4 linked regions of the Lonchura striata genome follow. The protein of the gene in region 1 interacts with the protein of each later gene in a pairwise test. Links are inferred from orthologs where the notes say so. Each region holds a gene or a part of one and is shown in the gene's direction. Other genes may lie near its edges.

What was found.
Region 2: the proteins of RALBP1 (region 1) and CEP57 interact in binary tests that used the Homo sapiens proteins (3 or more experiments, as listed by UniProt). The two-hybrid records come from large-scale screens. The link is inferred for Lonchura striata from reciprocal best matches to the Homo sapiens genes RALBP1 and CEP57.
Region 3: the proteins of RALBP1 (region 1) and REPS1 interact in binary tests that used the Homo sapiens proteins (3 or more experiments, as listed by UniProt). The link is inferred for Lonchura striata from reciprocal best matches to the Homo sapiens genes RALBP1 and REPS1.
Region 4: the proteins of RALBP1 (region 1) and TSFM interact in binary tests that used the Homo sapiens proteins (3 or more experiments, as listed by UniProt). The two-hybrid records come from large-scale screens. The link is inferred for Lonchura striata from reciprocal best matches to the Homo sapiens genes RALBP1 and TSFM.

Annotation. Positions count from the first base shown.
Region 1 is NC_134603.1:51,666,760-51,673,918, forward strand, and holds the start of RALBP1 (ralA-binding protein 1), read left to right. Parts: upstream 1-4,137; 5' UTR 4,138-4,225; intron 4,226-5,994; exon of another isoform or gene 5,995-6,271; intron 6,272-7,159. UniProt on the Homo sapiens protein: Multifunctional protein that functions as a downstream effector of RALA and RALB. As a GTPase-activating protein/GAP can inactivate CDC42 and RAC1 by stimulating their GTPase activity.
Region 2 is NC_134604.1:39,869,612-39,876,483, forward strand, and holds the start of CEP57 (centrosomal protein of 57 kDa), read left to right. Parts: upstream 1-3,869; 5' UTR 3,870-3,936; coding exon 3,937-3,996; intron 3,997-6,872. Other genes in the region: protein FAM76B, read right to left, coding at 749-904, 2,430-2,484, 2,930-2,994, 3,094-3,198. UniProt on the Homo sapiens protein: Centrosomal protein which may be required for microtubule attachment to centrosomes. May act by forming ring-like structures around microtubules. Mediates nuclear translocation and mitogenic activity of the internalized growth factor FGF2, but that of FGF1.
Region 3 is NC_134605.1:51,578,751-51,585,742, reverse strand, and holds the start of REPS1 (ralBP1-associated Eps domain-containing protein 1), read left to right. Parts: upstream 1-3,975; 5' UTR 3,976-4,044; coding exon 4,045-4,197; intron 4,198-6,992. UniProt on the Homo sapiens protein: May coordinate the cellular actions of activated EGF receptors and Ral-GTPases.
Region 4 is NC_134629.1:5,337,681-5,344,684, forward strand, and holds the start of TSFM (elongation factor Ts, mitochondrial), read left to right. Parts: upstream 1-3,990; coding exon 3,991-4,317; intron 4,318-4,535; coding exon 4,536-4,667; intron 4,668-5,806; coding exon 5,807-5,935; intron 5,936-6,006; coding exon 6,007-6,114; intron 6,115-6,488; coding exon 6,489-6,573; intron 6,574-7,004. UniProt on the Homo sapiens protein: Associates with the EF-Tu.GDP complex and induces the exchange of GDP to GTP. It remains bound to the aminoacyl-tRNA.EF-Tu.GTP complex up to the GTP hydrolysis stage on the ribosome.

The DNA of each region.
Region 1 (7,159 bases):
CCAACCTGCTCCGGACTGGGACCTGGGAAACGCCAAGGAACACCGAGAGCCTGTGCTTTGTGATCTGCAGCAGACATCCCCAGTGCCAGAGAGCAATCCCCAGCGTCCAGACCCGGGCGACCACTCCCAGGAAAGACTTTCTGGATTTGTTCATCTCTTCAGAGTGGTGAAAGAGTTTTGTTGTCATCTGGTGTGAGAACCCCGGGCTTGGTCAGGGGTCTCGTGTGGTGCTAAAGTCTCTCCTCCAACCCGTGCTTCCAAAGAAAAACTCCGCAGGCTCTTGTTGTTTGGTCCCAAGGCAGTTTATTGTGAGTTATCTAAAATATTGTCTTTGCGGGCTGCGGCTGTTTGATCAGCGGCCCAAGCAGAGACACACACACCCTGACACCCTCACTGTCTGGTGTCTTCTTCTCCCTCCCCGCCCAGGGCTGCTGCTATCTTTTATATGATATATTACATATTATATGTTTACAATTTTTCCCCAATACCTACTACCTATATTACAAAGTGCTTTTCTACTCTAAACCAATTCATAAGTGCCAGCATCACCAAGAACATGGAGGTAAGGAAAAAGAAGGAGGAAGAACAGGATCAGCCCACTTTCCTCCATCTTAGAACTTCTGACCCCCATGTACAAAGTAAAAACCCCCCTGTACAGGTGCTAAAACCCCCCTGTACAATACTAAAAAAATTTCCCCTCTACTTTGTAACTACTTTTACTATACTATCTAACCCTTTGTGACTGCTTGTTCCACCTCCAAAGTTGGTAAATCATTCCATGGATCAAACTCAAAATCACAGCTGTTTTTCAGCTGTCTGCCAGGGTCTAAAATGCTTCTGACCAAGGCCTGGAACCTCCAAAAATGTCTGAGAGACATTTTGAGTTCCAACAATCTGTTGTTAATTTTTTTTTTTTTTTTTTTTTTTTTTTTTTTTTTTTTTTTTTGGTGCTGGGGAGTGCTTTGTTTGTTAAATAAACAGGTTCTTTTCCACTTCTCTCAGAGAAAATTTTTTTTTTCCCGAACCAGGTGGGTGGGGAGGGGCCATGGGGGGTTGTTTTCTGGGGGCTCCTTCCAGAGGGTTTTCCCCAAATTTGCCCTAAACTAAGACAAGTATTTATAAATTTTCTTCCTACCACAGAGAACTTGGAATTACTTGGCTTTGAGCAACCTGTTCTAGGGTTGCCTGGGGCAGAGGGGTTGGAAATAAGTGGTCTTTAAGGGCCCTTCCATCCCAAACCATTCAGTGATTCTGTTGCTCCATAATACTGCTCATAGGAGTTGCTTAGGCAGAGTTCAGGATCATACACCTTTTTGGCTCTGTTCTCCTGCTCTGTGGTAATTTCTATGAACATTTTTTCTCCCCCAAAGGCATGAACTAATTTACTACCTCTAGGTTTTCCTGTTGTATCTTCAGGCTCTCATTGTTTCACTTGTTTGTTTCAGTTTGTGGCCAACTCGTTTCTTTCCTAAGCTAAATATTTTTATGTTTGCTGTGTATTCCTTTATTGCTAAGGAGAATTACACAGCACATCTGAAATTATCCCAGAATGATACAGCCCACATAGACTCCCATCTGTTCAAGACAAACTCAACTCCAGAACTGGCTTTCTTGAAGTAGTAGTAGGAGGAAGGAATTATTTATTAACACAGCTATGCCTTTCCCCTTTTCTTTCCCTGACCAAATGCTTTCTGAAGCTCTCCTCCATTATTATTTTATTACTTTTATGAAGCTCAGGTACATCAGTGAGACTGATTTTCCATGCAGAGAGCTTGCCACCTCAGAATCCTTGCTTCACTTTGTCTTTAAAGCAGTAAGAATTTACTGAGTGAATGTGAGGCAAGCTGAGGGTGTAAGAAAGTGCCTCAGTCTGTGTAAGTTGGTCCCAGACCACAGTGAATTTTGCAAGTCAGAAACCCTCCAAATCTGTTTCACATGGCAGTAAATTGGTATAGCCAGCACTGCATACAATCATTTGTTTGTCCTCAAAATCTGGGAGAAAATTCATTCTGGGCTCATTAGCTGATGAGCCCATTGTGCATGAACTTTTGTTGGCAGTGGCCTCTAATAATACACATTCTTCAGCGCTGAGAGCCTCTGGCCACTGTCACTTCAAGTGGGGATCCTCATGGGCAACCATCTCAAATTACTACGGGATGTTACAGAACTAACCCTTCTCTCTTCTTTTGCCAGGAGTAAGGCGGCCTTTATATACAACAAAAAAAGAAACACATTGGCTGTGATGTTAAGTTAAATAGCCTGGTGAGCCTTTGCTGTTACACTGTTTCTTCTGGAGAGGAGGAGGGAGACTGGAATTTGCGAGGTTATGTAAAAAGTGGTGAAGACAATATCCCTGTGCTCCAACACTAATCGGAGTGTTTACAACCCTCTCTTTTGTAGCTTCCACTGAATAGCACAAATTCCTGTGGGGGACCTTTTACATTACCGCAGGAGGTGGCACAAAGAGCTCATTCGACAGGGACTAAGCAGCACTGAGTCTCAAGTGAATAAATGGAGCAGGTGGCACGCTGCCACGGTATTAATGTGTCCAATAGGCCGGGGATTATGCTCGAGGCTGTGGGAATGAATCGGCCCTGCTTCTGACTGAAACAAATTCCCCTGTTGATGAGCAATCCTGAAAGGGATTCAAATTACGCAGGTGCTCAACGTAACAGAAACTTCCATTGTAAGAGGCAAAAAACCCCCACAAAATTCCTTATAACATCACTGTAAACAGGATGCATCTTGAGATGGGGATGTGTTCCTTGGCACAGGTCACCTCCAGCAGCATCCAGAGCCTTTCCCCATTTCTCTCGCATTCCAGAAAGCAGTAGAGAGAAGTGGGTAACTCCTCTCAGGAGGTCAGATTTGTATGGTGGATGAAGCCGAAGCCTTCATGTGAACGGAGGAAGAGGAATTCTGTCAGCAGTAACATCACATGGAAGGTGGTCCAGGCGCCCCCACCTGCGGGGCTGTGTCAGCTCCCACTGAGACTGATGGCTTGTGGTGTTTGCTGACCTCCCATTCTGACTAGTGTAATCTCACAACTCACTTGGCCATACCCATCTGTAATCACTGCCAAAAGAATCTCAAAATAACATAACGGGTCAGATTGGAAGAGACCACACGGGGTCACCTAGTCCAACCTCTCTGCTCAAGAAGGATCATTCCAGAGCACACAACACAGGACTGCGTCCCCACATGGTGCTTGAATATCTCCAGCAAGGGAGACCCCACAACCTCTCTGGGAAATCTGTTCCAGTGCATGGTCACCTGCACAGTGAAGTTCTTCCACATATCCAAGTGGAACTTCCTGTGAATCAGTTTCTGCCTGTTGCCTCTTAACCTATTGCTTGACACCACTGCAAAGAGCCTGGCTCCATCCTCTTGGCATCCTCCCTCCTTCAAATACTTATATACGTTGAAGAGGTCCCCTCCCAGTTGTCTCTTCCCAAGGCTGAACAGGTCCACCTCCCTCCGTCTTCCCTCATAATAGAGATGCTCCAGTGCCTTAATTATCTTTGCTGCCCTCCACTGGCTCTGCTCCAGGAGCTCCATGTCTCTCTTGTACTGAGGAGCCCAAACCTGGGCACAGCACTGCAGATGCGGCCCCACCAGTGCCGAACAGGGGGCAGGATCAGCTCCCCCGACCTGCTGGCAGCGCTCTTCCCGCTGCAGCCCAGGACATCCCTGGCGTTCGTGACCACAAGGGCCCTGAGCGCATGGCTCAGGGGCGCTTGCGTTCCTTGTGTTCCCAGAGGACTGATGCACCTGCTGGCTGCCGGCTCCCGGCGGCTGCTGAGGGGGCTTCGCACACGTATCCCGCCGGAGTCTCCTCAAGCAGCCGGACCCCGCGGAGCTTCAACAGCGATGCGGGGCAGCGGAGCTGGAACTCCCTCGCAGCGCGCTGGCCGCTGGGAGTTGTAGTGCGGCGGCCAGCAGCAACCTGGAGTGCCCTTGCCGGCAGCGTTCCCAGTGGGAACTACAACTCCCGTCGTGCTCCGCGCGCGGGGAGCCCAGTCCCGCCCGCCCCACCTCCCCGCCCTCGCGGCCGCGCGGAGCGAGGCAGCGGCGCGTGCGCGGTGGCGTGAGCTCGCGCCGCTCCCCGCCCGTCCCTGCGAGCGCCGGGCGGCGGCGGCGGCGGGATGGGGCGCGAGGCGGGGCGTGCCCGCCGCGCGTGAGGCCGAGCCGGAGCCGCTGCGCGGGCGAGCGGGACCCCCCGACGGTCAGTGCGGGGGCGCGGGGGGCGGCCGGCCCGGCCCGACGCGCCGGTGAGGGCCGCGGGGCCGTCCGGGGCCCGGGCGGGCGGGGGCGGAGGGAGGGGGGCGCCTACAACGGGCGGCGCGAGCCGCCACCGCCCCGCGGCTGCCGGTGGGGGAGGGGCCGGCGCGGCCGCTCGGCGGGAGGGGCGGGGCTGCCGGCGGCCACGCCCACCGCCCCGCTGGCGGCGCTCCCCTCCCTGCGCCGCCGCCTCCCCTGCTCCTCCATCGCGCTCCTTCCTTTCCTGGCTGTTTACCTTCCCTTGCTTTCCTCCCTCCGCTCCGCTCCCCGCGCTGTCCCTCCTGCCCTAACGGGGGCAGGCGCCGGGCACCTTGTGCGCCCTGTTTCCGTAGGCGGCTGCTCCCTTTGGATCGTGCGGGGCTCGTTGCAGCTCAGTCTGGGCTGTGGGTTGGCTCTCAGCAAGGTCGTCTTTCGTTGGGTTTTTTTGGGTTTTTTCTTTTTTTTTTTTTTTTTGTGGGGAGGGAGAGGTCAGGGATTTTTATTCTTTTACCTTCGCCTAGAAGTCTTATCTTAAAACCCAGAAAACTTACTGTTATTGTAATTTTTCTGCATCTAGTGTGATTAGCTGGTTCTAAGAATGTCGTGTTTCATACCTGATAATGTTGCTCAGAAAGTGTGTGTTACTGTTCATCATAGAATCACAGAATGGTTTGGAAGGGACCTCAGAGACCATCTAGTTCCAACCCTTCTGCCGTGAGCAGAGACACCTTTCACTAGACCAGGCTGCTCAGAGCCCCATCCCAGATGGCCTTGAACACTTCCAAGGATATGTTAGTGGGTTATATATGAGCAAATACATCTTTTTTTAAGTGCTAACAGATGTTCAAACAGGTGACAAAGAAAATACCAGCAATCCACATTGAACGTATCTGTTCATGACAGTGGTGTGGATTTCCTCCACCCCAGTGTCCCTGAGGTTAATGATAATTGTTGATAGAAAATAGTAATTTTTAAAAAAACAGGCTAAGGCCTTTTTACTTGTTACATAAACCAGGGTGATTTGTGCAAGTCCCTTGTTTCAGCACAGCAAAACAGCCCTAACTGTGCCCTTAAACAGGTTTCTGATCTGGAAACAGGTTGATGTGCTTACCATGAGTGTTCTGCATTGCCATAACCCACCCTGTCAGGAATGATGTTAAGGCTTCATTGGATATGATGCAGAACAGTAATGGATGTAAATTTATTAATCAGCTTACAGGAAAATGGCAGAGGGATCCCTTAGATCCCTTAGATTTGGGTTTTGATTGAGTGTTGTGTACAGCTGGTGGTGAATGGTGCTGTGCTTCAGTTCATTTCAGCGCAGTCTGGGTATAATCCCTACAGTCAGTGTGACAAGCTCTTGGGGGGCACTTTTCCACAGAGAAATAAAGTGGAAATAAAAAAACCAAAACCCTTCCAGACTGTTGTAGTTTTGAGCATTTAGTACTTCTAGGTGTGTGAAATTTATTAACCCTTTTGCTGTAATGTTCTAGCTAACTACAGCAAGAATAGAGTGTCTGTTACGTTGAAGTAGGGAACTTTACATTCCCTGTCCTATGGGTCTTATTTCTAGCTTGGAGAAAATAAATTTTCTTTAGTCTTCCCACATCTGAAATGGAGCATAGGAATAGCTGCCTTAAAATCTTAATACTCCACGCACAACTTCAACATTGTTCTTAGTTAAGGTGTATTCAGGAGTAGGAGGGCATACTTTGTAGTTTGAATTGGTGGGGCTTTTCCCCAAAGTAAGGATTTCCCAGTGAAACCGCTGGTGTGATTGTAGTTATGTGAGAAAGAAAGTTCTTTTTCTGTAGGGCAGATTATTTCCATTTCTATATGGGCATGTCTGCACTGGAGTATGTTGTCCTGGAATTGTAATAACCGTGTTCCTGCTTTGGAGCTGTGTGTCTTGGTTCTGCAGATGTCCTTAAAGCAAAACTGACATGCACAAGCGCTGCATCTAACTCTTTGGGGTTCTCATCTCCACTGTGTCCTTCAGGCACCCTTCCCAGTAAGTTTTAGCTGTATTTTCTTACAGAAAAGGTTTGCATGTTTCCTGAATAAACACTGCTGTTTCTTATGGGCAGGTTTTAGACTGATGTGGAAGATGTTGCTGTTCAGCAATAAATACCACCAAATGCTAATTTATTTTCCTTCTGTAAAGCTTGATGTCATGTGGTTAGCCTCAGAATGCTAAAATATAGTATGATATTTACCTTCAGTTTATAGTGGTATAATGTAGCATAATCTACCAAGCTTATCTCTGAACTAATGTGTTGAATCAGTGAATGATTGGCTACTCTTACAACTAGTCATGGTTTGCTATGTGCATGGTTTGCTATCCTTCGTCAACTCCTGCTGTTCCCCAGTGCCTCATGGATCATAGTTTTCAAATTGCTGCTAAAAAAAAAAAAAAAATATATCAAATGGGCCCATAGTTGGGCTGGAAGCACCTTATGGAGTAGGAAGTTTTAGTTTGGCTGCGTCCGCAGAAGTGGTGGTGTTGAAGGGTGACTGCTGTGCAGATAAGGTTTACATCTTCTGCCTGCCATGGCCAAAACCAGAAGCATAAGGATGCAGGCTGAGTTTAGAGAAAGGACTGGTATGACTCCCTTCCTGTCCATACTTACCCTTCTCATCCCAGCCATCCCTCACCTTTTGGGCATGACATCAGGGAATACAAACTCAGTTGAAGGTGTGGAGGTACAGAAGGGTGAAACAGATTTTGATGGTGGCAGCAAGAGCAAGTCTGCAAAGCTTAATAGCAGCAGGGATCCAGTGCTCCCTGCTTCCAGTTTTTCTTTAGGCTGCAGTAAAAACTGGGGAATGACTGTTTACTTGGGGCAGCTGCTGCGAAGTGGAGGATTTATATGGTATTACCCAAGTAAGGAGTGGTGAT
Region 2 (6,872 bases), on another chromosome or scaffold:
AGACATCTTTGCTATGAAACATCGTTATTGTATCTCCAGTATATGTAAGTTTCTTTTAGTAATGTGAATCTTATTTCACTTGTCCTTTAAAGTTATGCTACAAAGAGTCCTAGCAATTTTTGGACCTGCTCTACAATGCAGAAATAACAAAAACTTTTTAAAAGGACGAGTCTTTTTTACAACGTTGTTACTTGTACCAAGTAAATTCTTCTGTAAAAACAGCATTATCCTTGGGTTCAGTCAAGAGGCTTTTGAGGTCATTTTCTCAGCACCTTCTGGAATGAGAAAGTGGCACTCACCAAAGCTATTTAACAAAACAGAACACAAAGGGCTGCTCAGAGCAGTCTACCTCTCTGGTGCTCTACTTAAAGGCAAGGCAGGCAAATAAGAAGAGGTAAAGTGACAGACTCAAGTTATGAACATACAAGAAATCCAACGGATAGGAAAAAAAAGTAAAATAAATATCAAAATATGAGGAGCTGTTGAGCTGTTTAACTTCTGTTCCCCAGATACAACTGTCTGCGAACACATATGCCTATTTTCACAAAAAATGATTTAATTAAAAGTTAGCTCAGTAGCTAAAGTAACAATTGCAAGTTACAAAATTTAATTAAAATATTGTAAAGCACATATCAGCAACTTGAATCTAGTATTAGAGAACTTAAGACACATTCCTGTTAATCTTTGTCTTCTGAAAGAGGAACACTATTGTCAGCCTAAGCCATGAGAGATGTGGAACAAAGCCTACCTTCCTTCTTCCCTCCTCTTTTCGATCAAAAGCACATTGCTGTTTGCACTGCTCACAGGTCTGGGGTGGACCATACTTCTTCTCTGAGTTGGTGCAACGCTGGCATTTTGTGCCAATAAATGCTGCAATAATGTTACAATACTGACAAGGCTTGGGCTGAAAAAAAAAGTCAATACATTTGTATTTGCAGTAATGAAACTTCTGCTATTTCAATTCATACAATCATGCTTCGAAACTGGAAGAGTTTCAAATAATCTACCTTAAAGAACCTTTTTCCTACCATTTTTATCTTCAGTGTTAAACTTTTCCTCTAAAGTGATGCTTCTGCAAGGATTAAAACCAGCCTAGACTTTCCATGAAAACCCAGACACAAAAAAAGAAGCACACATCTATCTGGTTACTAATCTCTACACCTACTGCATTTTATTTTTTTAAATATATTTTTTAAAATATATTTTCTCTCAGTCTTGCCACACTACTTAAGAAATTACTTGCACAACTTTAAAATAAGAGTAATCAAGTGATATTTTTTAGACTGGAAGTCTCTGATGGCATCCCTCTCCTTTGCACAGCTCAGGGATTCAATAACCCTACAGTTCCAAGATTAGTATCCTAATCCCTGAAATTCTGCAGGAAACTTAAAAAAAAACCAAACCAAAACAAAAAAAAACCCTACCACCAAACAAAAAGCAATCAAATAGATCTGAACTATCAGGTCAGGTTATCAACTTTTATATCATACAGTCAACTAGACTAATAGAGTGCTGAAAAATAAAATTGATGTCAGTTTTCATAGGTTAGAAGTGGCTCATTATCTTCAGTGCAGTTCTTTTTTTTGATGAACTACTGATAAAATCGTTGATGGTTCTGTCCTGCAATTCATTTTGCTGCAATTTAAGCTTCTGAAAGCAATTCTTTGTTCAGTTTACATACACATTCACAAAGTGCCTGACTACATACCAACAGCTATTACGCTTCTCAAAAAAGTTGAATTTCAACTAATACAGTTTATGTCAAATATAGCGAAGTCATGCCTTTTTGTTTCACAAGATTATTTTGATACCTCCTAAAAACTCATATCTGCACAGTAGCTCAGATAGAATGTGTGCATTCATATGATAGAAAAATTAATTTTTCCAACAGAACTGAAGCTAAAATACAACATGAGAAAATATAAAGTAACATGAATGCTGATAATACTCCAAATCTTTTGTACCTATTAGTTTAACACGATTAATATGCATTTTTTAAGACTTACGTTATATAAAGTATGTGGTATTACTAGACTTCCACATTTACCACTTGTTAAGAACAATGAGAGCTAATGGTCTTCCTGCCATGAAGCATGTGCTTATGAAAATATGCAGGGAATAATGGAACGTGTGTGGTGTGAAATAACATTGCTTTGTTACAAATAGCTATATTGAAATTATTCTTAACTGTTAAGCTATATATTACCTAAATGGGTTTCAATTTGGGAAAAGAAACAGTAGCCCACAGAGGAAATCAGGATATGTCAGGCTTTTCCATCACCTTTCTAGATGGCAATCTATAGTGTGGATTTGTTTGGTTTTTTTTTTCCTCAAAAGAAAATAAGAAGATTAGTAGCAAGAGAATTTTGTTTTTGGTTTGAAGCACAAACAAGCTAAACTTCAGCATAAAGAACCAAGTAACTACTCACCGTTCCGAACTGCTTCACGTTTTGGGCACATTTCTTGCATATTGTGTTGGTTTTGCTAAAGAGATAAAATAGCACAACATTGAATTAGGTGACAAACATGCACTTTGACATTGTTCCCCATGCAATTACTTGCAAGCAGACTCTGAGAAGACTTGGGTTGGAAGGGACCTCCAAGGCAGAGTCACCCAGAGCGGCGACACAGGAACGCGTGCAGGCGGATCCTGAGCGTCTCCAGAGAGGGAGACCCCATCACCTCCCTGGGCAGCCTGATGCAGTGCTCTGCCACCCTCAGTGTAAGTAAGTTCTTATGTAGAGGTGAAACTTCTTGTGTTTTAGTGTATGGCCACGGCTCCTCGTCCTGTCGCTGGGCACCACCCGCTTGGCACCCGCCTCGGAGGTATTTACATGCATTGATGGATCCCCTCTCAGCCTGCTCTTCTCGGGACCGGCCAGGCCCCGCTCGTGCCACCGCGCCCGGCCCCGAGCAGAACCCGCCGTACCTCTCCTGCTGGAACTCGGAGCGGCAGTAGGTGCACTTCACGATGGGGTGGGCGATGCGGCACTCCTGCGGGGACAGCGCCGCGTTACTGCCCGCCGAGCCCCGGCCCCGCTCCGCCCCCGCCCGCCGCCCCAACAGCAGCCCCGGCCGGGGCCGCCGCCGCACCTTGCACAGCTGCTGGCCCTGCGAGAGCTCCTCGAACGGGTACCGCTGGTTGCACTTGGTGCAGGCATAAAGCGCCGGGGCGGCCGCCGCGCCCGCCGCCGCCATCCGGCGGGGCGGACACGGGCGGGCCGAGGGAGGGGAATGGGGAGGTGCCGCCGGGGCGAGGGACGGAGCGGCCGCCGGGGCCGCCGAGGAGGAGCCGGGGCCGCCGCCGCCGTCCCGGTGCCGCTGCCGCCGGTGCCGCCCTGGGCCCCGCGCGCCGCCCGCCCGCGTCCCCCTTGTGTCGGCGGCGGCGGCGTCACCCCGCGCGCGCCCCCCGCCCTTCCTTCTCTGCCTCCCTCCCTCCGCCCCGGGCCCGGGCTCGCGCTGCGCCCGCGCAGCCAATCGCCGCCCCGCGCCAAACCTGCCTTCGAACGCCGCCGCCCAATCGCCGCCCCCGCCGGCCCCGCCGCCGCCAATCCCGCCGCGGGCGCCCTGCCCTGCGCCGGGCGGCGGCGGCGGCCCTGCGCTGCCATTGGCCCAGGCGCGGGGGCTCCTCTGACAAAGGCCGGCCTCTTCCGCCATCCTCCCTCCGCGCGTGCCCACGCGCCGCCCCCCGCCCGCGCCGCTGGCTTCAGGGGCTCGCCCGCCGCCCGTCCCTCTCGATTGGCCGAGCGGCGCCCTCGCTCTTCTCTTATTGGACAATTTCCGCGTCAATCAAGGCTGAGAGGAAGACGGGGCGGGACTTACGCGCGGTCCTCCCTTCTCATTGGCAGGCTGGGATAGCAGTCAAGCGAGCGAGCCGCCGCGCGGGTGCCGAGCCTTAAAGTGACATGGGCCGGAGCGGGCTCCCTTGTGGCCGACATGGCGGCAGCTAGGGGCGGCCGGCCGCACACGCTGGGGCTCGGAGGGCGTCTCTCCGCGGTGAGGAGCAGGACGGGCGGGCCGCTTGTGAAATCCGGGGGGTAGCGGCCGGGCAGCGCGGGGCCGGCGGCTTGCGTGCCGGGAGCCGTACGGGCTGTGGAAGCTGGCTTGTCTGTTATACATGTGTGTGTATATATATACGTGTGTGTGTGTATCTACACGTGTATATAGATGCTTATGTGTGTGCATATATATATTTATGTGTGTATACGTGTGTGTGTGTGTATAAACATGCCTATATACACATGTGTATGTTTGTATGTATATCTGTATATGTGTATGTGTAAACCTATGGTGCATTCACGCGTGTTTTCTAAAGCGACAGAAGAAAAGATACTCTGCTGTTGAGCATCTTTCTGTCCCCACGCCAGCGTCTGGAGATGGTGTTTGCAGGTGAACGGAACAAAATGCTGCCTTTGGTTTGCTCCCAGACGTGTCCCGGGGCTTCGGGCTCTGTGGTGTTCGCCGCTTTCCGGAATAAGTTGCTGTTTTAGTTGCTTTTCCGTGTTTTGGCAGTTTTTCGCGTGAGAAGCTGTGTGTTGGGCGCGCCCTGGAGGAGCAGGCTGCGGAGGGGTGGTCCGCTCCTCTGCGGGTCTGGGGTCTCGCTGCCGGGGTGAGCGCCCGGCCTGGGGTTCTCTTGGGTGTCTCCTGCCCTGCAGTGTGCTCCCATACCTGGGCCAGCAAGAGGAATCTGGGCACTCTTTCCTCACCAAAATTGTTTCTAGCAAGCCTGGAGAGCGATCTCAGAAAACTCGTTTCAGTCTACAGTAGGTAAATGTAGGCTATTTAATAGATTTGGTAAGCCAAACAGAACTTTTGGGGAAAAAAGTTACCTACTGTATACATCTGGCACTCTACAGCAGATAGTTGACAAAAAATACTGTATCGTGTCAACATTTTTTCCTCTCCATTTGATGTAATTGCTTAACTAAGTTAACTTTTTAATGTCTGTTTTAACTAGAAATGTTACTGAAATGTAGAGTGCTCCTGACTCGGTCTCTATCAGGGAGGCACAGCCAGCACTTAACTTGGCCTGTGGGTGATAGGAGCTGTCCTTCCTTCCCCTTCCCTCCATTCCTAGTTTGAATGACTGGGTACTTGAATGTTTCATAATCACTACATTTAGTATCTCGTTATTTTTGGGTTTTTTTCGTTATTTTTGGTTTTTTTTTCTCATTCCCTACATAATTTTCCTGGGTTGGCTTTTTTTTTTTTTTTTTTTTTAAGCCATGTGCAGAGGCTGCTGTGTATCGCTTAAAGCATTGCCAGGTATCAATCTTTTTTTCTTTCTTTTTTGGTTATGAGCACCCAGATGAGAACTTGCAATAACACCCAATTCTAATTTAATCCCTTTTTAAAAACTCTCTGTATGAGTTTGTGTCTTTGTTTTCCTCCCACTGTGTTTAGCCTTTGAGAGCTTTGGGAGGTCCCTGTGCTGGTGATTTGTTAAGTTATCTCTGCTCTGTGTTTTTAATATTCCCTTCTTTTTGCTTGAGGAGGCAGCTGATATTTTGGGAGGCAGTGTTCTCAGACCTGTGAAGATAAGAAGTGCTCAGCTCACTGTTATGTAATAGGGTGCATTTGTCTCCTTGTGGGACTGTTAAGCTTCTTCACTTACTACTCTGAGGCTTTAGTGCAGCTTAAAGACTATGAGGAGTATCCTGAAAGAGAGGAGATATAGTTAGCAAACATGATCTAACTGAGTTTCAGAACAACAATATAGGGCTTCCTGTTTTGTTTTTTTTCTCAGTTTTCCTGAGCATCAGAGCATGATACTCCCTGTGAGACTTTTCCAGAGCAGGAGCAAATTTAAATGGTTTTTAATGACTTCAGAGATAGGGGGGAAGAGCAGAGAATCACTGTGATGTTTGAGCTTTGTGATGGGAAATTCCTCTATGCTGTTTGGTAAACTTTCCCAAAGTATTCAGTCAAATGATTTAAAGTTGTTATTTATGAAACTGAATATAAGCCACTCTTTTGCTTAAAAGTAGGTGAGAAATATATGTGTGGTAGCAAATTATTTAGACTGAAAAAAAGAGCAATTGTCTGTGTAATAGAGTATATTCCAGCACAATTTTTTTCAGTAGCTATTTGAAGCAGATATCTGTACTGACTATTACACTATTCAAATTAGTATTACTGGCTGTTCAAATTAGGTCCTATTGCCTGCATCCGTGTGACATGTAACCAGCCAAAAGACTCAATTTGCTTTGCTTTGTGTTAGTTTGGTGCTCCAGGGTTTTAAGTACAGCAGCTTTTTCTTTCAGTTAGACTGCTGTTGGCTAGAAAAATGTTACTAATGGCAGTAAAAACAAACAGAAGAATTCCTTTACTTCGGTGTTTTTATGCAGTTACATTTAATTTTTAGACAAAACTTTACCTGTGAAGACATAAAAGATGATAATGACATCTAGAAGGATTGTGATGCTGTCCAGCCCTACTTTGGCTTCAAGCTGATTCCCCTTTTTCTTTTGACTGCTTGATGGGGTACCTTTGGTTTGAGTCAGTGGCAGACAGGATATTGATATTTGAATCAATAGTTACTGTTTGGTTTACTGAGGCTTATGTTGCTGCTGTTCGTGTTTTGCTTGGTTCATTTTTACTCCATCATTTGGTCTTACTATTGTGTGCTCATCAATGCCATATCCTGTAATGCTAATGACATTTTTGATGTTAGCACCTAACAGGCTTTTGATTAGGTGGATTCATGTGTTCTGGTTAGACTTGTGAGGCTGCTGAGTGTGAAACAGTGTGTTTATGAACAAAACACCTGTTCAAAATAGTTTTATTAAAATATTCTTGATTAGGGATTAGTGTTTTAATTCACTTTCTGTGGTAGAGAATGTGTGTGCAAATGCAGTTATTTTGAGAAAAGC
Region 3 (6,992 bases), on another chromosome or scaffold:
GGCAGTAAAACAACCTTGCACTTCAATCCCCTTGGGTCATTGGACTTGGCCTTTCTGTGACAATGATGATTTTCTCTAATGGATGAATCCTTTGATAGCAATATATGTAATCTAACAGTTTCTTCATAGACAATAAAATACAGTAAAATTAGGCACCACATGGAGAATAGTTTAACTATTAGCTATTCAGAACTCTGAATTCTAAGAAAGTACATTAAAAAGACAAGAATAGGTACAATACTTAAAAATCCAGGACAAAAAGGTCCTTTTCTTGTCCTGTTTAACACATAAATCAAGATACTTGAATCAAGTGTTTCATGTACTGAAGGCTGAATCTACTGTATCAAAAATATATCACTAATGATGTGTTTTGGTGGGTATTTCATCATAAACCTTCTTCGTGTATCTAATATGAGCTCTGGAGAATGCTGTGATACAAATCTTCCCAAACCAAAAGACCTAAAATCTAAATTGTTTGTGTCAGTTGCACTTGCAAGTGCCATTACAGAGAAGTTACTCACTTCTTACTAATATGCATAAATATTCCTCAATTCATCCTGTGGCAAACAGCATATTTTCCAGACCAACAAAATTAATTGCCATTGAAAAGCCACTGAAAAGTTTTAATTATTTATCTCGATGCTTAGTCTGGCATGATGGACACCAGTAAAGTTCTGAACAAAAAATCCCTCCTTGGGCTGGAGGTTTTTAGAGGCTGATCAGGGGAGGGAAGGACAATCCCATAGTCAAACATAAAAACATTGAGGTAAAGATGCTGCGTTCACCTGTAGATCTTTGGAAGTAGAAATTAATTTGCTACACATCATGTCATTTCTATTATTTCTGCTCAGTCTTTGAACTTACACAAAGCAAGTATGTAAGTTTATGGTACAGGAGTTGGAAATGAGACCCAACAAACTGATTCCCAAACTACCTACCTGAACAGCTTCAGAGATGATGTACCACAGGGAAAAGCATTCATCTCTCCAGTAAGACATGACGTGACATTTTCACATGACATATCATGGATTTAGTGAAATGTACAGTTATTGAACGCACTTCAGAACTGTTTGACACTTGGATATGTGGGACTAGTCCATGCTGGGGAACTTCCTCCTTGCATTAGTCTTTGTGTCTTGTACAAACTGATGCAAGCCAAATTATCTCCATTAATGAATAAAGAGGGTTCTTGCTGCAAAGATGCAAATAATAAAATAGCAACTCAATAAAACATCCAGATTACCCACTCAAAATAATATGTCCAAATTACTCTTACAAATAAACTTCAGAATTATTTTGACAACAGAAGTATTTTAGGATCCTTATAGGTAAAAATATATGCATATATTAATGTTTTAAACTCCAACGCCTGAACTAGCCCACAATCACTGTAAGAAGCAAAGGCACTTGGAACTCAAACTCTTACTGATAAGTGATTAAAAAATCTATTCTACACATGCCTCTGTGTAACTAATAGAATCACAATATGCAGTTTAGCCATGGAGGGTGGTCATAACCATTGTACTTGCAGAGATACTGATGTGACAATAACTCCAAGTAAGTGACCAATGATGCTAAATTGGCCTAATCTAAGTCTATAAAATCATAATAATTAGATATAATATTTTTAAAAAGTTATTTCTTTAATATAGGCTATTTCAAGGAATTTTAACTTAGAATGTGATTGATCTGTTTGGTTTCATCATTAGTGTCATTGGAGTTGCAAAAGTTTGAAAATGGTACATTTCTGGGAAGAACCTTTGTCTATTATTTTAACTATAAACTAAAGTATCTGTGATTTTCAGAAACTTAGCAGAAAACTTTAGCTGTGTATTTCAAATATTAAGAAAGACAAATGTCTAGGTAAAAAAATGTAGCTATCTTAAGAGGCAGAAAGGATGAGGTGCTTAAGGGAAATAGAGCATTCAGCAGCAGCAATTTGGAAAGAGAAACATTGGAAGAGTTGTGAAGGAAGGTGAAGTGGAAAAAGAAAATAAACATAACTTAAGAATGGCAGAAGTATATGAAGTAGGGGACTGCCAACTCAGCAGGATTTAAATCAGACCAGTTAGTCAAAAGGTCAGGCAGGAGACCATGGCGTTTGTGAGATGCCCTCCAGAAGCCGAAGGAGCTTGGAGACAATTTTTTTAGTGTACTGTAGGAAAAGTATAGATCTACCAGGGGGACCTAATTTCATCCTTCCAGTATCTGTAAGAAGCCTAAAAGAAAGATGGAGAATTACTATTTACAAGGGCATATAGTGACAGGACAAGGAGGAATGGCTTCAAGCTGAAAGACAGTAGGTTTAAATAAGATATAAGCAAGAAATTCTTTACTGTGGGGTTGGTGAGGCACTGGAACAGATTGCCCAGAAAAGTTGTGGATGCCTCATCCATGGAAATGGTCATGGCCAGGTTGGATGGAGTTTTGAGCAACCTGGTTTAGTGGAGAATGTTCACAGCAGAAGAGGTAGAACTATATGATCTTTAATGTACCTTCCAACCCAAACCATTCTACAATTCTACCCAAGGAAATACACAGAAGCTCAGAAAACAAATCCAAGAGAGGCACATGGAGCAAGAGCTCTTGATGTGGAGATAGGTGAGCTCTTGCCTATTCTTCCTTGCAAGGCCAATGTATGGAGCTATTATCCAAGCCACTTGTTGTGTGCTATGCGGTGCTGATGAATACTGTAATGCTGGTGGAAAGAGGAAGCATACAGAGGAGGGCAACCACTTATAGCTGGGCCTATATGGCATAATAAGCTGCCCTTTTATCAGCAAAACCTGCACTGGGGATGATGTCAAGTGCCCCAAGCCCAGCAGAAGTGATTATTCTCCTGTACTCAGCACTGGTGATGCTATACTTTGAGTCCTATGTCCAAGTTCTGGGTCCTTCAATTCAGGACAGACATTGAGGTGCTGGAGCAAGTCCAGAGATGGGCATGAGGAGCAGCTGGGCGCAATTAGCCTGGAGAAGGCTCAGGGGAGACCTTATCACCCTCTTCAACTTCCTGAAACAAGGGTTTAGGCAGATGTGGGTTGTCTCTTTTCCCAGGCAACCAGCGATAGGACAAGAGGACATTGTTTCAAGCTGCACCAGCAAAGGTTCCGGATAGACATGAGGATGAATTTCTTTACAGAAAGAGTGACCAGAAATTGGAATGGACCGCCTGTGGAGTTGGTGGCATCACTGTCCCTGGACGTATGTAAGGAAAACCTGGACGTGGCTCTGAGTGCCATGGTCCGGTTGACATGGCGGTGTTCAGTCATAGGTTGCAACCGATGACCTCAAGTCTTTTCCAACCTAATTGTTTCTGTGACTCTGTGAAGGCAGGCCCGGGAAGCTGCTCGGCACTGCCCCAGCCTCTCACACGACTCACTAAGCCAGGACGGCCGGGACAGTCGCGCAGCTGAGCATCCCCAGATGTATTGTGCAGCTTGCCGGGGGCCCGTGCAGTCCCGGCCGGGCCGGAGACCGAGACACCCGCACCGCGTCGGAGCGCCCGCGCCCGGCCGAGCTCCGCCCTGCGGGGCTGCCCCGCGCCGCCACACCCACAGGGGGCGCTGCGCCGCACGGCCGGGCCACGCAGTGGAGCCCGGGTGCGCGGTCTACGACTACTACTACTACTACTACTGCTGCTGCTGCTAACGCCGCTGCCAACGCCGCTGCCCCTTCGCCCCTAGAGCGCCGCAGATGGCGCCGGCACCGCGCAGCGGGGCGGGGCCGGCGGCGAGCGCCGCTGAGCCTCCTCCCCGCTAGCCCCGCCCCTGGGCCCGGCGCTTCCGCCGCCGCCGCCGGGCGGAGGGGGCGGGCTGCCCGCGGCGCTGGGCGCTCCCCACGCCTCACTTTCCGGGCGGCGGCGTGCGCAGGCGCGGGGGAGGCGCGCAGGCGCGCGGCCGCGTGGGCAGGCGGCGGGGGGAAGGTGCGAGCAGCCGCCCGCGCGCGGCCGCCGGCGGCGCGTGTGTCCCGTGTGTGCCCCCCCCACCGCCGCCGCCTCCCCCGGCCCCGCCGCCGCATGCGGATGGTCCGCGGCGTTGGAAGATGGAGGGGCTGACGCTGAGCGAGGCGGAGCAGCGCTACTTCTGCGACCTCTTCTCCTACTGCGACACCGAGAGCACCAAGAAGGCGGCGTCCAACGGGCGCGTCCTGGAGCTCTTCCGCGCCGCGCAGCTGCCCAACGACGTGGTCATGAAGGTACGGCCGCCGCCGCGGGGCCCCCGGGGGTCGGCGGGCCCGGCCACCGCCCCGCCGTGTCGAGATGGCCCCGGCCCGGCCCTGCCCTTCCCCTCCGCCCGGCCCGCGCCCCCTGCCCGCCCCGCAGCCCTTGGGCGGGGGTCGTCCCGCCGGCGGGGACTCGGGGATTACCGAGTCTTGGGGGTTGGAAGGGACCTGTGGAGGTCTTCTCGTCCAACCCCTGCCGAGGCAGGGTCCCCTGGAGCAGGTGACAGGGAACGCGCCCAGGTGGGGTTCGAGTGTCTCCAGAGAGACTCCGCCACCTCCCTGGGCAGCCTGGTCAGGGCTCTGCCGGCATCGGCTGAGGAGGCTCTGCCTCGTGCTCAGGTGGAACTTACTGTGATTTAGTTTATGGCCACTGCTCCTCATCCTGTCGCTGGGCACCACTGGAAAGAGCCTGGCACCCTCCCCTTTGAGATATTTACATGCACTAATGAGATCCTCTCTCAGTCTTGTCTAGACTAAACAGGCCTAGCTCTGTCAGTCTGTCCGGATAAAAGAGCTCCAGACCTTGATCACCTTTGTGTCCCTCCGCTGGACTCTCTCTGTTAGCTCCTTGTCATTCTTGTACCGAGGAGCCCAGGACTGGACACAGTAGGATGGAGCTGTTTGACCGGCCACCTGAACCCCTCCAGCTGCAAGGGGAGGGCAGGGGGCACAGCGAGTTGTGCACCGTGCACCCTGTGCCAGCCTCCCCTCCCCTTATGTACCTCCAACTGCAGGGCTGGGAAGGGGCTGGTGGTGTCTCTGCTGGCAGCCTCCAGCAACTGGTAGGAAAATGTTCCATGCCAACAGAGGCCGTCCATAGCGTGAGAACTGTAGAGTGTAAAACTGAGAATGAGTGAGATTGTCCCCATGATCTGCTGATGAAGGGCAGCATAGAAGGAAATTTGGTTTTGTGTCCTTGGGAGCTACTGACACTGGTCCACTTCACCTAAGCCATGCAGTCTTTTTTGGACATCACTTGCTGGAAGGTATTAACTTACCTGTAGTCAGCCAAATGTTTCTATTAACAAAAAATGTGGTGTTAAGACTGACACGGGCCCATACTTGCAGTATGTATGTGCCCAGTTTTAGCATTTCCTTGGTCAGGTTATGTCTAAGACGTGTAGCAGTATTGCAGAGCTACCTGCATAGGAAAGGGAAAGTCTGCTTTGGTGTGCGTAGGTACACATTTGAGGAACGTATTCCCAGTGAACCATTCTTATGAATGGCTATTTGTAATAATTTGCTGCTTCTGCAGTTCCCTCTGTCATTGTTCAGTGCTTTAAAGTGTGCGTAGTCTTTTAAGCTCCTGTGGGTAAACCTGTATTTAGAAAGCCATGCTGCCTTTTGTGCAGTTTCATCCTCAGCCTAGTGAGATAACCAGCACGAAGTATTAAACTTACTATTGCTAGAAACATAAATTGCAAGATACTGAAATTCAGTGCCAGGAGAACACTTACTGACTAAGGTTACTGTTGGTGTGTTTTGGGCTTCCCAGCTTGGTTAGTTGAAATGAGTTTAAGATACAATGAGGTGGAAGAAGGCTGAATAAGAAATGGTTCTTCCTGGTAAAACCAGTAATCTCTTATTTGACGACTTGCTATACTGGACTTAATGGTAGGAGAGTCTGCGTGCTCAGTATTATGAGTAAGGTTTCTCAAGGGCCACCCATGGCTGCTTTTTGTTTGTAGCAAGCCAGTTTCAGAAAAATCATCCCAGGGAAAGTGAATGTTTACATCTTTGCTGTGTTTAGAAGTTTCTTTTACATAAAACTTGTCTGAATCAGTGTATAGTAAGCTAGTGCTAGAGATTTTACTTTATGCAGGAATTTAGTGAAAGAACTTGGAAAGACCTGAAAAAAGTGTCCACAGGTTATATCCTTGTCTTTTGCATAGGAGGTCAGATATTTTCCTGCAAAGTAGACTTCATCTGAAGAAGAGAGACTACTCGGGCATCATTCCATGGGTCCTAAATAAATTAGCTGAAGTAGACCTGGCTTATCACTCTAGTGATCTCAAGGAGAACCTTGCAGTTAAAATGGCAAACAAGATATTAGATTGCCTGAGGAATGAGACTGTAAATAGTACAAAGAAAGTTGAAATGCCCTTAGCAGTTTGACCCATTATGAGTATCTTGTGCAGTCGCAGTTGGTCACCTGTAAAGTACTTTGTCCTTTGAAAACAATTTAGTTGTGTAGTTATTTTGCATACTTCTTAAGGTATGGCTCTACACCAGGTTAACACAGGCATAAATATATTGGGGTTCTTCAAAGGGAAGTTGCATTTGATGCTTTGAAAGCTGAGACTATGTAACTTAAACCTCAAGATGAAGTAGCTTAAGAAATGAATCCTGTGAAGGAGGTGGAATTTTCTTTTGACCATATGAGTGCTATGTTTTTACCTGTTCATTTGAAGCACCTGATGCTTGTGGGGAAATGAACTTGATTCAGTTACTTAATCCTTACATAATCCTGGAATGCAAGTGTAGTACTGGTCACATGAATGCTAAGTACTTTTGTAGGTGTGCAAAACATAGCGTAAAATGGTCGCTCTTCAAGCTCACGGGGAGCAAGTAGTCCTAAGGAACTACTTCCTAGTTTTTCCTTTTCAGTACTACAGGTTGGTAGGTACCTTTGAATAGTTCAGAACTAATTCCATTGGAAATGAAAATGTCTGACACTTGCATTTTTAGATTCATAACTTGTTTTACTTGCAAATCGGTTGTGTAAAGGCTGGATAGATGTGCAGCCTCTTTTGCAAAGAGTTATGTCC
Region 4 (7,004 bases), on another chromosome or scaffold:
GAATGCAAAAGGGTTACAACGGGAGTTTGGAATATCCCATGCAGATGCCACTGCTATAGTGAGAGCTTGTCCTATCTGTAGTCATCATAATGGGGGTCATGGCATGGGATGGGGAGTTAACCCACGAGGTCTTTCATCTAATGAACTCTGGCAGATGGATGTTACTCATGTAAATAGCTTTGGTCTTCTGAAATATGTTCATGTTACTATAGATACATATAGTAAATACATCTGGGCAATGGCTCAAGCTGGAGAAAAAGCATTACATGTTATAAGGCATTTATGTAGTTGTTTTGCAGTAATGGGAGTGCCAAAGCAGATCAAGACAGACAATGGTCCTGCATACATTGGTGGCAGGGTGAATAGATTTTTAAAATCGTGGGGAATTAAGGACATTACAGGAATAGCACATTCTCCCACTGGACAAGCAATCGTAGAAAGGGCAAATGGAACTTTGAAGAGATACTTGGAAAAACATAGAGAGATTGGAGATGTTCAGGAAAGATTAATGAAAGTGCTCTTTGTTCTTAATCATTTGTGTGTATTTGGGGATTCGGAGGCACCACCTGCAATGGTACATTATGGACAAAAAAGGGACAAATTGTACATGGGACAAAAAAGAGATGAGTAAAAAAGGGCAAGGAAGTATGGGTCAGGTATAGGGACCCTAAAACAGGTATTTGGCAGAACCCAGCAAAGGTCCTCTATTGGGGAAGGGGATATCTTTGTGTTTCCACCCTACAGGTTCACTCTGGGTGCTCTGGATGATTCATCTCGCAGACCCCTGACGGATCAGGACCAGAGGAGAATTAAAGAGAAGCTGATTCGCACAGTGGAACCCATTCTTCAAGAGATAAGAGGACTTTCCCCAGTGATTGATCAACTTTTGCCTTCAGAGTCAACTTTTCTGGCAATTGTTGCGAGTATTGAAGCTTTACAGACTGTTCATATTCCGGGACCAAAGAATCCCGAGTACCTTGGTTGTGGGAGTTTTAATTGTAAGAGTTGGGTTGCTTTTATTTGTGGGAGTAGTAGAAAAACGTACTAGGAAGACCAAGTATTTTTGAAACGACATTTTTGGTGTAAAAATCGTGACTTTCAAGCACAGGGAGAGACTTGGCAGAAAGATTTAATACGAGACACAGGCTTAGGAGTTGCTTTAGCTTTGCAGTTATTTGAAGTGCCAGAACAAAAGATACTAGCTTTTTATAGATGGGAAGCAGAACATGTGGGTTAATTAGGCAAGCAAATTCAAAAACTTTATCAACAAGGTGCCAAAAGCAGGTGAAAGTATCTATAAGATCTTATTTAGGAAGACCAGTAGTAGGAAATCCAGACATAGAGTTAGATAGGCTTATTGAAAATGTGCAGGCATTGAAATTAAAATCCAAGAGGAAGAAATCATGAGGGTGATGAGGTGGATAATCTATCTTGTTCCTTTGACTAATCTTTGTTGTGGACTAATGCAATTTAATCAGCCCAGAGAAAAGATTTGGGTAACCTTGGCTAACAAGACTAATCAATGAGCTTGGGAGGAGTTACAAATCCATTTCGTACCTGCCTAACAGGTGTTCCTGTCTGGAGACCAGAGGAATTTTGTGGGTTGGTAAAGGATCAAACACTTTGCAAGAATTTTGCAAAAGTGAAAGGGCCAGACAAGAATATTGATTACACAGGAGCTCAAAGAGATGGCTACAGGCAATGTTTGTTGGTACTGTCACTTAAAGAAACATTACAATCTCCACCAGAAGAATTAGATCTCTTTGGAAGTGCCAATGCTAGTTTAGGGAATGTTTTGACAGGAGGATGGTTTAGCTTTGTTCCATTGAACTTGCAGAATTTAAATAACCCAAGAGACAAATGGGCTTCTCTGGACTCTTCACTGGACTCAGGTAGGGTAGCATCACAGTTATATTCCAACTGTGATGGTTCCAAGATAACCAAACCCTTAAGGTTGTCAAAAGGTGTATTTTTGATCTGTGGAGATAGAGCTTGGAATGGAATACCAGTAAAACCACAAGGGGGACCCTGTTACCTAGGAAAACTAGCGCTGTGCCACCCTAATATGTCCTTGCTAATGCAATGGGACAGGCTAGGGAAGAAAAGGAAAAAGTGTGATGTGCATGACTTAGAATGTGATCAGGTTGGACAACCTCAATTTTGGAGTACTTTGAAACAAATAATAGTAGCAACCCTGTTATCAGGAGGAGCTGCCAGAAAGGCTATGGTGTTAGCTGAACAATTAAAATGCTGGGCTAAAGATGGACTTAATAAAACATTAGAGGTTTTAGCCATGCTTGCTATGGATGTACAAAGTGTAAATCATGCAGTACTGCAGAACAGAGCAGCCATTGATTTTTTATTATTGGCCCATGGACATGGATGTGAGGAATTTGAAGGAATGTGTTGCATGAATCTCTCTGATCATTCTGTATCAATACATGCTAAGATTAAAGAACTACAACAGAGCCTTCATCAATTAAAAAAAGAAGATGGTCTGGGGATAGAAGAATGGCTTAAAAGCTTAGGGATCGGTCCTTGGCTAAGAACTTTTATTATGAATGCAGTGGGAATCTTGATTGTTGTTTTACTGCTCTTGCTGATCTTGCCCTGCCTGTTTAGCTGCCTGCAGAGGCTGGTATGATTCAAAAGATGTGGACAACTAATTTAATGGTTCAAAACAGAAACAGGGGAAGTGTGGAGAGTTTTGTGGATGAGTGGCTTTGGGAGAAAGGACATGACTACGTGCAGTTAGTGAAGCAGCAGCTGAAAATTGCAGAGTGCAGCAATAGTGGATGTAGCAACAATATCCAACAATATCACACGTCCTTGGGTGAGCTGGTTCCCAACAGTAGAATGGTCAGCAAAAAGATAAATGTAAGGGAAAACAAAGCAGGCATAGAAAGCCCCAAAGGCGGGGTTGACCCTTTTAGAGACACCAATGAGGAGCCTAAATTTGCAATATGCATGAGCTTCATTATAACGGGTATAACTGTACCTGCGTGCCTGGAATAAACGGAGACTTGTTGACATTATAGAATGGGCTTGTCTCCCGTCATTTGCCACAAGGGTGGGGGGTCTGTGAGGGTCTGGGGTCTGGGGGGGTCTGTGAGGGTCTGGGGGGGTCTGTGAGGGTCTGGGGTCTGTGAGGACCAGGGGGTCTCTGAGGGTCTGGGGTCTGTAAGGCTTGGGGGGGGTCTATGAGGCTCTGGGGTCTTGTGAGGGTCTGGGGTCTGTCAGGGTGGGGGGGTCTGAGGTTGTGGGGGGGTCTCTGAGGTTGTGGGGTCTATGAGGGTGGGGGGCTTTGTGAAGGTCTGGGGGGGTCTGTGAGGGTCAGGGGTCTATAAGGGTGGGGGGCTCTTTGAGGGTCAGGAAGGGTCAGGGGTCTCTCAGGTGTGGGGGGGTCTGAGGGTCGGAGGCTTTGTGAGGGTCAGGGGTCTGTGAGGGTCGGGGGGGTTGTGAGGGTCAGGGGTCTCTGAGGCTGGGGTCTGTGAGGTTTGGGGGTCTCTGAGGTTGGGGTCTGTGTGGGTCAGGGGTCTGTGAAGCTGGGGGGATCTGTGGGGGTCTCTGGGGTTGGGGTCTGTAGGGGTCAGGGGTCTCTGAGGCTGGGGTCTCTGGGGGTCTCTGAGGCTGGGGTCCGTGTGGGTCAGGGGTCTCTGAGGCTGGGGGTCCCTGGGGGTCTCTGGGGGTCTCTGGGGTTGGGGTCTGAAGGTGTGGGGGTCTCTGTGTGGGTCAGGGGTCTCTCGGGTTGGGGTCTGTGAGGTTTGGGGGTCTCTCGGGTCCGGGGGGGTTCGGGCCGGGCACTTGGCGCTCCCCCCTCCCCAAATTCCGCTCAGCCAATCCCGGGGCTCCGCGTGACGTCACACAGCGCGGCAGCCAATCGCGGCCCCGCGTTCTGACCCCTCCCGGCTCCCGTAGCGCGGGGCGGTCGCGGCGCGCCGGCGGTGACGTCACCGCCGGCGCGCCGCGACCGGGCCGGGCCGGGCCGGGATGCAGCGGGCGGCGCTGGGCGCGCTCGGGGCGGCGCGGGTGAGCACCGGGGACCGCGGGGACCGCGGGGACCGCGGGACACCCGGCCCCAGGACCACCGGGACCCCCCAGCCCCGGGACCACCGGGACCTCCCCCCCGGGACCACCGGGGACCGCGGGAACCCCAGCCCCGGGGACCGCGGGAACAGCGGGACACCCAGCCCCGGGAACCGCGGGACACCCAGCCCCAGGGACCGCGGGAACAGCGGGACACCCAGCCCCGGGAACCGCGGGACACCCAGCCCCGGGGACCGCGGGAACCCCCCAGCCCCGGGACCACCAGAAACCGCGGGAACCCCAGCCCCGGGACCCCCGGGAACTTTGCTCCGGGACCCCCATCCCGGGACCCCCCGGCTCTCCCCGAGCGGCCCCGCTCTGCCCTTCCCCTCCCCGCTCCGGTGCCCCCCGGTGCCCATCCCCGTCCCGGGACCCCTCTCGGGACCCGCCCCCGGTCCGGCCCGGCTCGGGGTGCCGGTGCCGGTGCCGTGACCGCCGGTGTCCCGCAGGCCGCCCCGCGGCGCTGGCTGAGCGCGGCGCCGCCGGCGCTGCGGGAGCTGCGGGAGCTGCGGGCGCGCACCGGGCAGCCGGTGCTGCGCTGCCGGGAGGCGCTGCAGCGGGCGGGCGGCGACCTGCGGCAGGTGGGCACCGGGGCACCGGGGGGAACGGGGGCGAGACCGGGGGGAACGGGGAGGCGAGAACCGGGGGGCACGGGGGGGCGGCGACCTGCGGCAGGTGGGCACTGGGGGGAACGGGGGCGGGACCGGGGGGCACGGGGGGGCGGCGACCTGCGGCAGGTGGGCACCGGGGGGAACGGGGGCGGGACCGGGGGGCACCGGGGGGATACAGGCGAGAACCAGGGAGGGAACGGGGGTGAGACCGAGGGGAACGGGAGCAGAACCTGGGGGGCACCGTGGGGAAACGGGGGTGGGACTGGGGGGCACCGGGAGGCACCAGGGGGAACAGGGGCAGGACCAGGGGGGAACGGGGTTGGGACCGATGGGGGACCGGGGGGCACCGGGGGGGGGACGGGGGTGGGACCGAGAGGAACAGGGGCAGAACCTGGGGGGCACCGGGGGGAACGGGGGCAGGACCGGGGGGAACGGGGGCAGGACCGGGGGGGAACGGGGGTGGGACCGGGGGGCACCAGGAGGGGACTCAGCACCCGGGGGGAGAGTGAGGGGGTGGGGAGCGGGGGGATGAGCCCGGGGGGGCTCCAGGGGTCCCCGGGCAGGGGGATGGCCACGAGCTCGGGGCTGGTCTGTGCCACCCCCCAGTCAGGGACAGGGACAGCCAGCAGTGACCCTGTCAGTGTGACAGGGACAGCCAGCAGTGACACTGTCAGTGTGACAGGGACAGCCGCAGTGACACTGTCTGGGATGGGGACAGCCAGCAGTGACCCTGTCAGTGTGACAGGGACAGCCAGCAGTGACCCTGTGAGTGACAGGGGACAGCCAGCAGTGACCCTGTCAGTGTGACAGGGACAGCCAGCAGTGACCCTGTCTGGGATGGGGACACCGGGGTGACCCTGTCAGTGATGGGGACACCGGGGTGACCCTGTCAGTGATGGGGACACCGAGGTGACCCCGCCAGCCCTGGGGACACCGGGGTGACCCTGTCAGTGATGGGGACACCGGGGTGACCCTGTCAGTGATGGGGACACCGAGGTGACCCTGTCAATGAGAGAAGACACCGGGGTGACCCTGTCAGTGATGGGGACACCGAGGTGACCCCGCCAGCCCCGGGGACACCGAGCTGACCCCTGTCCCCCTGTCCCCAGGCCGAGGCCTGGCTCGAGGCCGAGTCGCGCCGCCAGGGCTGGGCGCGCGCCGCGGCCCCGGGGGCTGCCCGGGCCCGGGAGGGGCTCGTGGGGGTCCTGAGCGAGGGCTCGGCCGCCGTCATGGTGGAGGTGAGTGCCGGGGGCTGCGGGGGTCCCCCCCGGGGGTCCCCGTGCCCCCAGGGTCACCGTGTCCCCCCCAGGTGGGCTGCGAGACGGATTTCGTGGCGCGGACCCCCGACTTCCAGCGGCTGGTGGAGATGGCGGCCAGGGGGGTCCTGGAGCACTGCCAGGGGGCCTCGGGCACCAAGGTGGGTGTCAGGGGGGCTCTGGGGCTCCGAGCACCAAGGTGGGTGCCAGGGGGGCTCTGGGGCTCCGGGGCGTTCTGGGACTGGGGGTGGCACAGATGGTGTTGGGTTCTTGGGGGTGCTGGGGTGCCTGGAGTGTTGGGGCAGGTTTGGGGGTGTTTGGGGAGGTTTTGGGGGTGTTGGGGCAGGGCTTGGGGGTGGCTGGGGCAGGTTTGGGGTGCCAGGCTGCTGGGGCAGGGTTTGGGGGTGGCTGGGGGAGGTTTTGGGGGTGTTGGGGCAGGGTTTGGGGGTGGCTGGGGGAGGTTTTGGGGGTGTTGGGGCAGGGTTTGGGGGTGGCTGGGGCAGGTTTGGGGTGCCAGGCTGTCGGGGTCCCCCAGCTCCTGCTGCGGGAGGAGGAGCTGGCCCAGGTGCGGGCAGGGCACGGGGGGGACCTGCTGAGCGACCACCTGGCACTGGCCATGGGTGAGTGGGGACGCCGTGCCCCTCCCAGTACATCCCAGTACATCCCCCTCTGCCCAGTGTCTGTCTCAGCACTCCCAGTCTGCCCAGTGCCCTGTCTGTGCAATCCCAGTTTGTCTCTTTGTCCTTTATGTCCCGAAGTTCCCTGAACCCCAACCCCGGTGATGCCCCTAGTGCCCATCCCAGTGCCCCCAGTGCCCCTCCCCAGTGCCCACCCCAGTGCCCCAGTCTCCCCAGTGCCCATCCCAATCTCCCCAGTGCCCATCCCAGTGCCCCTCCCCAGTGCCCCCAGTCCCTCCCCAGTACCCCCAGTCCTATCCCAGTGTCCCTCCCCAGTGCCCCCAGTCCCTCCCCAGCACCCCCAGTCCCTCCCCAGCACCCCCAGTCCCTCCCCAGTGCCCCCAGTCCCTCCCCAGCACCCCCAGTCCCTCCCC